Neurospora crassa OR74A: one gene and its partners. The protein of the gene in region 2 interacts with the protein of the main gene of each other region in a pairwise test. Links are inferred from orthologs where the notes say so. Each region holds a gene or a part of one and is shown on either strand. Other genes may lie near its edges.

Region 1 (4,068 bases), on a different chromosome or scaffold from region 2:
TTCCGTGGTTGTTGTTGGCTTCTTGGTGGCGGCGGTCTGTGGTGCCTTGGAGGAGGTGAACTTCTGCACTGCGTGTTCGAGGCGAACCCAGCTCACGAGAAGAGCGGAGAAGACGAGGTAGAAGAGGCCCTCGTAGGAGATGGTGAGGATGACAAATGTCGGAGCGCAGGTGAGGAAGATGACGAGGATCCGGTGCATGTAGTGGTTGTTGGGCCGCAAACGGTAGGCCAAGGGCATGAGTAGTGATGCGACTATTGTTGAGCTTGGGTTAGAGAAGAGTCACCAGCTGCGGCAGGCATTGCGAGGACTTACCAAGAGTAACCCAACCCATAATTTGATTGCCGCGAGGCAGGCCTTGCTTGGCCTGCAGCGAAAGGGCACTGGAGCGAGTGATGATGATAGATAGTACAGTGAGGCCCACTTGAATACCGACGAGTGACCTGGAGAGGTGGTTCCTGGAAGTAGGCTTCGCGTTCCATGAGAAGTCCGCGAGGACAAAGTCCTCGAAGATAAGGTAAAGAAGGCCGATGACGACCATCAATACGCCTCCGATAGTACTACGCACCAATTAGTGAGTGGGAGAAACAACAATTAAGGGGTAGGTATACGAACATGAGATTGACGTTCTCTGCCTTCATCGCCGGGAGGAGCGTGAACGTGCTCATGGCGATACAGGCGAGGAACCAGGTGGCAGACAGCGCCCCATGCTTCTTGAGGAACGACAGGCCGTGGGTGAAAGGCCAGAAGGAACCCAGCACGAAGAGAACGGAAAGAATCTCGCGGTGGATGTAGCCCAGGGCAAGCGATTCAATGACGCCAACATAAAGCGCGCTGTTGAGCACGAATGAAGCCACACTTCCACCTGAGTTGATATGGCCAAGCAACTCCTTGCGACCTGCCGCCAGACTTTCGCGATGCGCATAAACTTCCTCCCAGAAAAAGACCGGGAAGAAGGCATAGACATAGTAAGTGAGGGGTGACTTTGAAATGACGAGGGACGCATAAAGAGCAACGAGAACCGATGTGAAGAACAAGCCCCCGCCAAGCGTTCTCGACGGTCGCACACGACCATGTAGGACGTGCAAATCAACGACTGTTGTAAGAGCATAGGCGATCCAGCCAAGATAACCGATGGTGATGAGCGCTCTCAGGAACAGCCAGTCGTAGGTCTGGAGATATCTCAAGCCACCGAGACCGACCTTCATAAGGGCAGCTGATTCTTCGATAGCTTCCTCATACCGACCAGCGTCAATGAGCTGGCGAATCTCGGCAACACGACGTTCTGGGGACAGGCCGTTTTCTCCGAATGGCTGATACGGCCTATACTTCAACTCGGTGGCTTTCTTCTTTTCCTCCTTCACCCGGTATTGCTCCAAAATACCCTGCACGTTCACCAGCGAAGCCTCAGCCTTTTCCTTGATGTCGGCAGCAAGGTAAGACAGGGGGAGTTCGCCGACCGAGTTGGCAGGAAACTCAACGCCAACAAGGTAGGACATGAGAGCAGCAACATCAGCCTGAGCGACATCATGCCTCCTAACGTGGTCCAAGTTCCAGTCTGCAGAGTACTCATCATGGCCGGGCGCCACTTCGCCTGGGTACAACTGAGGCTTGGCAACCCCTGAACCCCAAACAATCAGGGGGGTCCGTGTGTTGTCTGGGTGACCATCACCATGGCTTCCCCAGTCGCTCATGCCGTGGTCCGCGGTAAATACAAACGCAGTCCTACCATCGCGGTAGAAGTCGCGGAAGAGCTCAGCAACCTCCTTCACGCCCTGATCCACAATCTTGATGTTGTTGAGGTACTCCTTCGAGTAAGGGCGGTATGAATGACCAGTAGTATCCAAACCTAGCAGATGCAGAAAGAAGACAATCTTGTCTTGGCGAAGCGCCTCAGCAAGCGTCTTGTTCCTGCGGGCCTCAGCAAAGAAATCCTTTACATGGTCAAAGACCCAGAGGTCGAGCTGGGTGGCGTCGGATGAGAAATCCTCGAACTCGTGTCCGTACGTGTAGGCGTCAACCCTCCCCGGGACAGCTCCCTGCTCGAACATTGGTAGAATATCCGGGCTGCCCCAGCTCCACGTATGCCGACTGCGGTTGAACAAGCTGTCAAAGTTGACCGGGTTCAATTTCCATCCTGTCGTAACGGCTGACACATCTTCGTACAGACCGGCGATGAGGGCAACATGACCGGGTCGAGATTCGGTCGGCACACGCGTATGGGAGACACCAAAGGTTCCCTGTTCCAAGATCTTTGATCGCAGATAGGGGGCGAGAGGTCTCGGAGTCAGATCGGCATCGGATTTGGGATATGGTTCAGGGTGGGACTGAAGGGCCTTGTCGGCGCGCAAGCCGTCTCCTGGAAGAATGAAACCGTGGTTAGCGCTTGGCCGCAACACATTAGGCTCGGAGTAGCCCACTTACCTACGAACAGAACCAGCCGGTCCGCTGGCGCACTGCGATTTGGGGGTCGTTGAACATTAAATAGGCGCATGCCAGTCTCAATGGGACTGACAAAATAGATGTCGAAGATGGAAAAGATATAGGCGAAGTGAAAGATGACGGCGATGGCCAGAAACCTGAACCGTGGAAAGGCCGCCATGATGAAGTCGATTTGAGGCCAAAAATGGCCGTTCAAGGATGGACGTATGCGTAAATTGTACAATTACTATATCGAGCTCTGTTGTATATGCGAATCGTGGATATTAAGTCGGGCGCATCATGGCGCAGCAGTTGGATGTCGACAAAGTTAGGGGGGGGGGGGGGGCTTCGTTCAATGGTATGCCCTGGACGCGAAGCAGAGCTTGGGAGTTTAACACAGCTGGTTGAAGCGAAGGAAAAGGGTCACAGAGGCCCTCAAGGCACTTGGAAGAAGATCAACCAAAGCTCAGCTGCCAAAAATAGAAGAAGAAAAAAAGTCAAGGGACTGTGTAAAGCTCGAGGTTCCAGTTGCGATTCATGGTGCCAATGCCACCACGACGGGGGGAGCTGTTCAGGCTAGGCGTTGAGCCAGTGAGGTACCTGCACCGCATGGCAGCCCCGGAATACTGAAACTCGTGGCCCGTCAGGGTGCACGCCAACTGTCAGGCAGCCTGTCAAGAGTGTCTGTCGGTCAGTTTCGGCTACTTGGTAGGTACCTACAGTAGTGCTTTGGGTGCTCCTTCCCCTGCGGAGAGACGGGAACCAGGCACCCAGGGGCCCCGCACGGGCGCCACTCGAGAAACCAACCAAAGCCGCTAAACGTGACTTCGCGGGGAGCGCTGGCTTGCCTGCCGGGCAAATTCACGTCGACGACGCGCCTCACACATCAATCATTTATCGGCTTTAGTTTGCTCTTTTGATAACTTCCACCTTGACTCCATCGACTTTGATTAGCCCAAGCTATCACTGCTAACGAAGGTAGTGTCTTCAGATCAATAAACGTTTTGTTCTCGCCATGGAGGATTACAAGACGTACTTGGCCGAGAATATCCTCAGTGAGGACAAGGTGGTAGGTCACCCACCCGATTACAACTGGTTGATGGCATTGAAGCTCAAAGGTGCAGAGCCGCGACTAACATGAGACCAAACTTCAGGTCACCTATCGCTTGCTGAGTCGGGCCCTGCGTGTACATCCAAATGTAGCGAAACAGTAAGTTAACGAGCGGAAGATTCAAGAATCAGCAATGACTTACACCAAACAGAATGCTCTATGATTTCCACAAGACCCAGAGCAGCAAGAAGCCCGGGACTGTCTATGCCACTTACATGCTATACGGTATCAAGAAGTCTGTCCAGAATCAAAATGGCAACGCCATGGACATCGACTTGCCTTCTTCGCTTCCCGACGCGGACCCGGTTGATGACGAAGAAGTGCCCTCATACACTCTCGTACTGGTCCAGGAGGAGCGGTTAGCAGACGTCCTCAAAGAGTACGAGACAATAACATCGATACATGTTTACAGCGTCGGACCTCACCCAGCCAAGGATCTTACGCTGCTTGTTGATGCCGCTCAAAGTGCGCTAGCCATCAAGGATGATGCTAAGAAACCACAGCCCCGTCCCATCGTCAACTCTCACGTACGCCGAAGA
Region 2 (3,489 bases):
AGGAAGGGGAGTTAGTTCGTTGGGTTTACATGTAGGTGATGAAGATAAGGATTAGCGAAGGGAGAGATAAAACGTACAAAGGAGACGCGCCCGCATGGTGGCGGGGTCCTCGCCGACTCTCCGGAGCGGCTCGATCTTGAAGGTGGCGCCTTGCAGTTCGCCGACGTCGAGGTCCTTCTTTTGCTGGTTATCTGTGCTGTCGTTGCTGGCCGATCGCGAAAAGGCAATGACGTGTCTGCTGGCGACGGAGGCGGGGCGCACAGCGGCAGCGCGCGCAAAGGTGGCGGCCGCGGGCCGGAGGGCGCGAAGAGAGGAAGCCATTGTTGCGACGATTTGTCTAGGTGCTTTTGGCGAACTGACTGAAGACGGATTGTTGTAGCCGAAATAGAGCGACGGCCAAGGTTAGGTGTGTAAATCGCTCGGATGAAGCGGATAGTGTGGAGAGGGTGCCGTTGCGCGAACTAGGTAACTGCTCCGGCTTATAAATGAGGATGTCGAAGTGATGGGAATTGTTGTAGGATTCCGTTCGGGGCCGATTACAGACGCTACAATACCCCGTCCCTTACACTAGTTCGGCGGGCTTGGCAAGTGATCATACAATGGGGGCCGAGGCCGAAAAATTGTTGCCGGTTCCGGTTCATCCCTCCGCATCTCCGTTGTCAATCCATGACATCGCCACCGTCTCCAGTGCCTCTATCGCCAATTGCTCATGTTTCGACTCATCACCACAACAACGCCCACGACGCCCATAACGCCTTTTGGATGCGACTTCTCTTGGTATGCACCGGGCAGATTTTCGCTCTCAAATAGTCTTGAACTTCCAAAAGTAGACGGCTCACTCAGCATGCAGTCAATTCTCCTTTTTACTCCATAACTTTTTGGTTGAAACACATTACCGTATATAGTTACACCAGAAATCTCCAACCTATTGTATGCCATTCGCTCGCCTGCGTTGCGTGTAGTAAAGAGTTCATAAAACCTCCCGCCCGTCGTTACCATGAAGCCGTATAATAAATAAGGTAGTTTGGACAGTGGTAGTTGTGGGTCGTCATCGTAGGTTGCGCCCAGCCCATTAAATAAGATGCTTAGATCTAAGCAGATTTATGTTAGTAACTGAACCCATTTGCTCCGCTAGATGGGAAAACGAACCTGAAGTACGCCCTGAGGTACATAATCTGCCACCCCCAGAGAGCAATGAGGAGGAAAGTGGTGGCCATGCCAAACCACTTAACACGGTTGTTGGTGCTCTCATTGGTATCACGGAGCTTCTGCTCACGAGCGCGCAAGTAATCCATTTCGTTAACAACCTCGCCGACCAGCTCCTCGATGCGGCGCAGATCGGTTTCAAGTGGCTTAAGCTTCTCGGTGGCCTGGATGGCGGACCAGTCCTTGGCATCGGCACCAATGTCGATATCGAGCTCGACGTGGCGGCGGGGGTTCTCGACATACTTGGCTGATCATCGCAATCTTGTCAGTTTCCCATCCGAGCTTTTGCTGGTTGTTTTGCTAATTTTCGTCATGGCCAAGGAATGTACGTACAACCAGTAAGGTAGTTCTCGAAGCACACGTCGAAGGCTGCGTCGTGATGCGAGGTGAAGACGATGCGCTGCTCGCCAGCAATATCCTTGGCCTTGCCGTACTCGTTTCCGTGGCTATCGGAGATCTGTGTCGCGTCCAAAGTCAGACTCGTCCATGTAATTGACCGCCCCATAATCCATCCCCTAGCCCCTTTAACTTGCACCCAGGAGGGAGAGCACCTACGTGCATGTTGACGTTCATGCCATCGCCCTTGTATCCGTCAAGCGTAGCCGTTACAACCACCAATGTGTCCTTGTTGACAAAGTTCCGTATGCATCGTCGCTGGTTGCTGTGGTGTGAAGAGGTAGCCTCAAGGTCGAACTTGAGAGCTTGGGCGGCACCGGCGAGCAGCAGGAAGCCGCTCAGCAGCGACTTTAGGGATGCCATGATCGCTGATTGATAGGATGATCTAGAACGTGGGACGGCGGCCGGGACAAAAAAAGTTTGAAAGTGTCGTCGAGTTGTCAACACAGTCCGGCGAAGCTATGCAGTGCGTGACCTGATCGTATCGCGGAAGGTGGGCTGTCTGTATTAATGGGAATAGCTCCGCGACTTGGATCTAGGGGAAATCTGGCGGCTTCTCTTTGGGCAGGCAACTTAAGGACAGCTGAGACAGGTCTGGAGCATGTCCACAACGGCTTGACAGCAGGAGTGCCCTTGTTGTGCCAATCAGCAGCCGCGAACCGATCAGGGGAGCTCTTTTTTGGGGAAGCCTTAGAGGATCCACTATTGCCAAGCACCTCGAGGACCAACCTGGTCCCGCTTTGGTCATCGCGTCCCATTGTGTGTGTCCAGTGCACTTCAGCCTTGCAAACCTTCTTTTGTCTTCGTCGTTGTCGCGCGCCGTATCATTGTTGCCATCCAACTTGCGACTTTCTCCGAGGGCAGCCACAGAGATTTCGAATAACCCCGTCTTGAAAGGTTTCGCGATCACAATCTACCAAAATGCCAAAATGTGAGTACTGCTTGGACCGCTCATCTTCAACTCGATGCTGACGACATCTTGTACAGTCTTTTGCGACTACTGCGATGTGTACCTCACGCACGATTCCATGAGCGTCCGCAAGGCGCACAACAGCGGTCGTAACCATTTACGAAACGTTGTTGACTACTACCAACGTACGGCACAATAAGCCCCCAATCCACCATTTCCGACTTCACCGCATAACTAATGCGATTTTGTTTTACAGAGATTGGTCACGAGAAGGCCCAATCCGTTATCGATTCGATTACCTCCTCGTACGCCGCCGAAGGCCAAGCCCACGCCAATCCTATGCTCCCGCAGAACCAACCCGGCGGAGTCCCTCCCGGCCTCGGCTTCCCGCCCCCGGGCGCCGGCGTTCCCCCCTTCCCGCCTTTCCCTGGCGGCATGCCTCCTCCGTTCCCAGGCATGCCCGGTGGCGCGCCGGTGCCCCCTCCCGGAGCCTTTGGTGCCCCAGGCGTGCCCGGCGGTATTCCTCCTCCTGGAGCGCCAGGAGCTCGCGGAATGCCTCCAATGCCCCCATTTCCTGGTATGCCTGGCGCTCCTGCTGGTATACCTGGCGTACCGCCTCCGATGCCCGGTCCTGGTGGTCTGCCATTCCCGCCCCCAGGAGGTCTACCCTTCCCCCCACCTGGAGCAGGAAACTTTCCCTTCCCCCCTCCCGGTGCGCCAGGTGCGTTCCCCGGTATGCCACCTTTTGGCGCCCCTGGTCAAGGGCCTCCGGGTGCCGACAAGAGGTGAAGTAGTTTGGTGTACGATGAGAGTAGCTTGAGAAAGGGCACGACAACATAGCAACCTGGGTCAGGCCGCCAAAACGAGCATAATATTCACAGCTTTCAGTTTCGGATTTCATTCAATTGGTGTTTACAATTGGGTTTCATTTTCTCGGAACACGATACCAAGATTCTACGGCGGCGCTGAAGGCGTTA
Region 3 (3,972 bases), on a different chromosome or scaffold from region 2:
CTATGTTGTGTACACTATCTAGTAGAAGATATCGGTGGATTCAGTCGGGCGATTCTGAATTCGGAAGACATCCAATAGACAAGAAAACATTAGTCCGTCATCAATCAATCATCCCGCATGGCCAAGAATCCCTTCATTCCGCGGGGAATAAACTGATAAACAAGCTTTTAACTGGAGCCTTTTTGCTGGAGACAGACGTTGGGGCCTTCAAGGGCGGATACCTAGGTACTGTACTCTTTCATTCATTCTTTTCTTTTTTTGTAGTGTAGTGTATACTACCTAACACATGGAGACATGGGTAGCCATATGATGTGATGTCAATATTTCCATTGATTATTCAAGGGTCTTCTTGTCTTGATATCTGAAACTGACTGACACCATGACTCATCAACGCAATTCAGGGTCCAGTTCCATGGATTCCAACATCACATCATACTGCCAATGTTATTCTTGGCTCGTCTTATGCATTAGGTATTATTGACTACCGTATCATCCTCTTCTCTTCATCCCAACGGGAAGAAGATCTACGGTATATGCATATACCGGGCCGTTGACCCGTTGTCTGTTGTCCGCAGCGGAACCACTCCCGTCTAGAGATAATCCAAGTATAGCATCACCAACGTCTGCCCTTCCACCTCCAACATATCGACATCCGATCCTAGCTATTACTCAAAATCCCCACCACCCCACCCACCTTCCTCCCCAAGCCCATCCCATACCCAACCTCCACCACGCCCCTTGCAAACCTCCAGCTCCGCTCCTGATCAGGAACCGGATACTGCATCGGCCGCGGTATCGCCGTCCTCACACCCAGCCAACCAAACCGATCCTCACAAACCGCCTTGATATTACACAACCCCCGCAGTCCTTCCTCGCCCGCAAACCTTCCATATCCCGACCCCGCCACGCCTCCAAAGGGAAGCTGCACCGCATACGTAGCTCCGAAATCGTTGACGGCTACCATACCCGCCTTCAACCCCCTGACCACCTCGTGCAGCGTGGAATCCCATTCCGATCCGAACACGGAGCTGCCCAAGCCAAAGTCGGGCGCGTTGGCTACGGCGAGGATGTCTTCTGCCGAGGACGAAGCGGCGCGCATCACCACCATAATGGGCCCGAAGCACTCTTCTTGCGCGATAGCCATGTCCGGCGTAACGTCTACGAGAAGGGTAGGCACGAAGTAATGACCGCTTGGGTATTCAGGGTGTGCGTACCGCTTGCCGCCGGCCAGGAGTCTAGCGCCTTGTTTAACGGCGTCAGCGACCAGTCCTTCGAGACGAGCAAAAGCGTTATCCGAGATCATGGCGCCCACATCAGCGGTGGGACCCAGACGAAGAGCGCGCACGCGCGGGGTGAGCATGGAGAGGAGGGTGTCGTAGTGTTGGGGGGCGACGACGATGCGCTCGATGCCGATGCAGTTCTGCCCGGAGGCTTGGAACGTGCCGCGCATGAGCGTGTTGACGATGCGAGGGAGGTCGGACTTGGGGGCCGAGGCGAGGATGATGGAGGCGTCTTTGCCGCCGAGCTCGGCGAGAACGGGAATGAGGGCCTTGGAAGCCGATTCGGCGACTTTCTTGCAGACGGGCTGGGAGCCGATGAAAGTGATGTGGCTGATTTTGGGATGAGAGGTGATGTGGTTGGCCGTTTGGGGCCAGCAGACTACGGTTTCTGTGCGGAACAGGTTTGTTAGCAAGGGCCAAGGTAAGCTGTAGGAACAAGAGACCAGTGATACGTACGAACAAGCGCAGGATTATGACCATGCGCAACCAACGCGCCCCTGATCACACTCGTAAACCACTGCGAGCTCCAAGCCGTCTGCTCCGATACCTTGACTACAATACCGTTGCCCGCAAACAGCGCGCTAATCACCGGTCCGATCAAGTTGTGAAACGGGTAGTTCCAGCTCACCAGCGCAGCAACCACGCCCAGCGGCTCGTAGTGCACCGTGTTCCTCTTATACGCCATCAACAGGTTCGTAGGCCTCGACTCCGGGCGCAGCGCCTTCTCGCCATGCTTGATAGTCCACTGCAGCTTCTCGGCCGTAACGAGGATCTCGCCCAGCTGAGCGTCTACCATGGTCTTGCCGCTGTCGAGACAGGCCACCCTGCAGATCTCCTCCTGGTTGTCGAGCACGTATTGAAGCAGTGACCGGAGGACGGCGCGGCGCTGGCGGAAGGTGGTCTTGGCCCATTCGACCTGGGCGGCGTGGGCTTGGTCGATAGCGCGGTCGATGCCTTCGGGGGTCGAGGGGTTGACGAAGCCGAGGAATTGGCCGGTGGCAGGGGCGTAGCATTGGATCGCTGAGGTACCCGAGGCTTTGATCGAGGGGTTTTCAAGGATGTTCTCCTCCTTGGGGAAGTTGGCGGGAGGAATCGTGTAGCGGATCGGCTGGTCTTCGCGGCTCGCCATGTACCAGACGGCCAGCGCGGCGAGGGCTGACCAGACGAGAGCCCATGATGATTCGGGAATGTAGCTTCCTACTACCCTGTTGTGGTGGGCTTGTCAGTAAGGTTATGAGCGTACCGGAAAGGTGTAGGAGGGAAAAGGCAGAGTGTATTATGCACGTACGGTGTATCCTCCAAAGCGGTCCGGAGCTGCACGAGCAGACTCCTAGGTATCTCCGCCGCCATTGTTGCGCTGAGTGAGCTTGGAGAAGCCAAGGGCAGACCACCCAAGAACTTGACAGCAGGGCTATGCCTCAACAAGTCTTGCAACGGTAATTGTCTAGCGTAGGAGAAGCTCAAATAGTCGAGAAAAAGAAAAGTTCCAGGGGTAAGCTACTTATTGGGGGAGCTGTTCCGTCAAGCGCGTGTTCGTGAGCTGATGCAGGCACACCCCACATATATGGTGCCACCCGGCAGGCAATGCTTGTGAGTGCCAGCCACAAGGGTTCTCTTTTCCCCGACCCCTTTTCTCGACGTAACTCAGAAGGAGTAGTCATACAGGACGAGTAAACAATCGAGGGCCAAGGCTAGTCTCATTTATGATGTGACAGGGAAATCTGGAAAGCTTGTTGAACTACACACGGAATGATGTTCTTGTCTTGTTCAAGAAATCCAGGAATATAAAGCAATACCTATCAACACCGTGCAAGCATTGCGGATTCCTTCCCGTGGGTTCTTTTCGTCTATATCTACTTTATTTTACGGTAGAGCTGCTATACAAAATGATCTGGAACCTTTTCGAAGTTGAGCACATATACTGTATAAACCTAAACTCACGAGCACGAATAGCAAGTTAATCCTGCACCAAACACATATATCCTTCTGAAGTGTGCGAGTCCACGCATTCATTCATCACCACACAACCATCCCATCCCACTGGTATGTCGCTTGCTTTTGCTTTCAACAGAGCCATTCATGAATCCAAAGACCCAAAAAGTAGTTATCAAAACGGTGCGCATGGTGTTAATGAATCATTAGATAATATACACTTTTTACTTTTGCAGATTTGAGTTGTACTTCACTTGGCTTGCTCTTATTTCTTTCTCACCATACTATACTCTCTTCACTCGCTCGCTTGGCTTGCTTGCTTGCTTTCTTGCTCCATTCTCTTCATCTCCTTAACTCGACCCGGCCTTTTCTAGTACTGTGGTGATGATATGTGACAAGAAACAAAGCAGCCATAACCAAAAAAGACCAAACAACAAGTAGTGTAGATTTGTTGATTCGACGGCCGCAAAGAAACAGGACCAAAAAAAAAGCAGCAGTACATACTATCGCAGCAGCAGGTATAAGAACGTAGCAGTAACAGCAGCCTTCAAAACCCTGAGAAAAAACAAGACGGAAATAGATGAAAACCCCCACCATCCCTCCCCAAAGCCGTGTGTGATCCTTCGCACACAGCATGCAGCTACAACAACAACACCACTATCCAGCCAAAAAAGTCATGTGTGCAGGCCATGAAATCATGTCCTTTCCTTCCATTCCCTGCCCTAATCCTCCCGTTCCCTTCGCTTCGAACTTCGTCCCA

What was found. The genes of interacting proteins can lie anywhere in the genome.
Region 1: the proteins of NCU01342 (region 2) and gpip-2 interact in a protein complementation assay, tested with the Saccharomyces cerevisiae proteins (2 studies listed by BioGRID). The link is inferred for Neurospora crassa OR74A from reciprocal best matches to the Saccharomyces cerevisiae genes ERV25 and MCD4.
Region 3: the proteins of NCU01342 (region 2) and NCU07442 interact in a protein complementation assay, tested with the Saccharomyces cerevisiae proteins (2 studies listed by BioGRID). The link is inferred for Neurospora crassa OR74A from reciprocal best matches to the Saccharomyces cerevisiae genes ERV25 and MSC7.

What each region holds. Positions count from the first base shown.
Region 1 is NC_026504.1:3,862,102-3,866,169, reverse strand, and holds the start of gpip-2 (GPI ethanolamine phosphate transferase 1), read right to left. Parts: upstream 2,801-4,068; 5' UTR 2,600-2,800; coding exon 2,422-2,599; intron 2,357-2,421; coding exon 613-2,356; intron 558-612; coding exon 313-557; intron 252-312; coding exon 1-251. Other genes in the region: NCU07998 (hypothetical protein), read left to right, coding at 3,434-3,487, 3,573-3,628, 3,681-4,068. UniProt on the Saccharomyces cerevisiae protein: Ethanolamine phosphate transferase involved in glycosylphosphatidylinositol-anchor biosynthesis. Transfers ethanolamine phosphate to the first alpha-1,4-linked mannose of the glycosylphosphatidylinositol precursor of GPI-anchor.
Region 2 is NC_026505.1:3,710,344-3,713,832, reverse strand, and holds NCU01342 (endoplasmic reticulum vesicle protein 25), read right to left. Parts: upstream 2,103-3,489; 5' UTR 1,966-2,102; coding exon 1,762-1,965; intron 1,664-1,761; coding exon 1,540-1,663; intron 1,454-1,539; coding exon 1,150-1,453; intron 1,092-1,149; coding exon 1,073-1,091; 3' UTR 501-1,072; downstream 1-500. Other genes in the region: NCU01343 (TPR repeat protein), read right to left, coding at 78-321; NCU01341 (U1 small nuclear ribonucleoprotein C), read left to right, coding at 2,524-2,533, 2,590-2,697, 2,769-3,301.
Region 3 is NC_026501.1:614,542-618,513, reverse strand, and holds NCU07442 (betaine aldehyde dehydrogenase), read right to left. Parts: upstream 2,801-3,972; 5' UTR 2,631-2,800; coding exon 2,569-2,630; intron 2,486-2,568; coding exon 1,737-2,485; intron 1,669-1,736; coding exon 659-1,668; 3' UTR 304-658; downstream 1-303.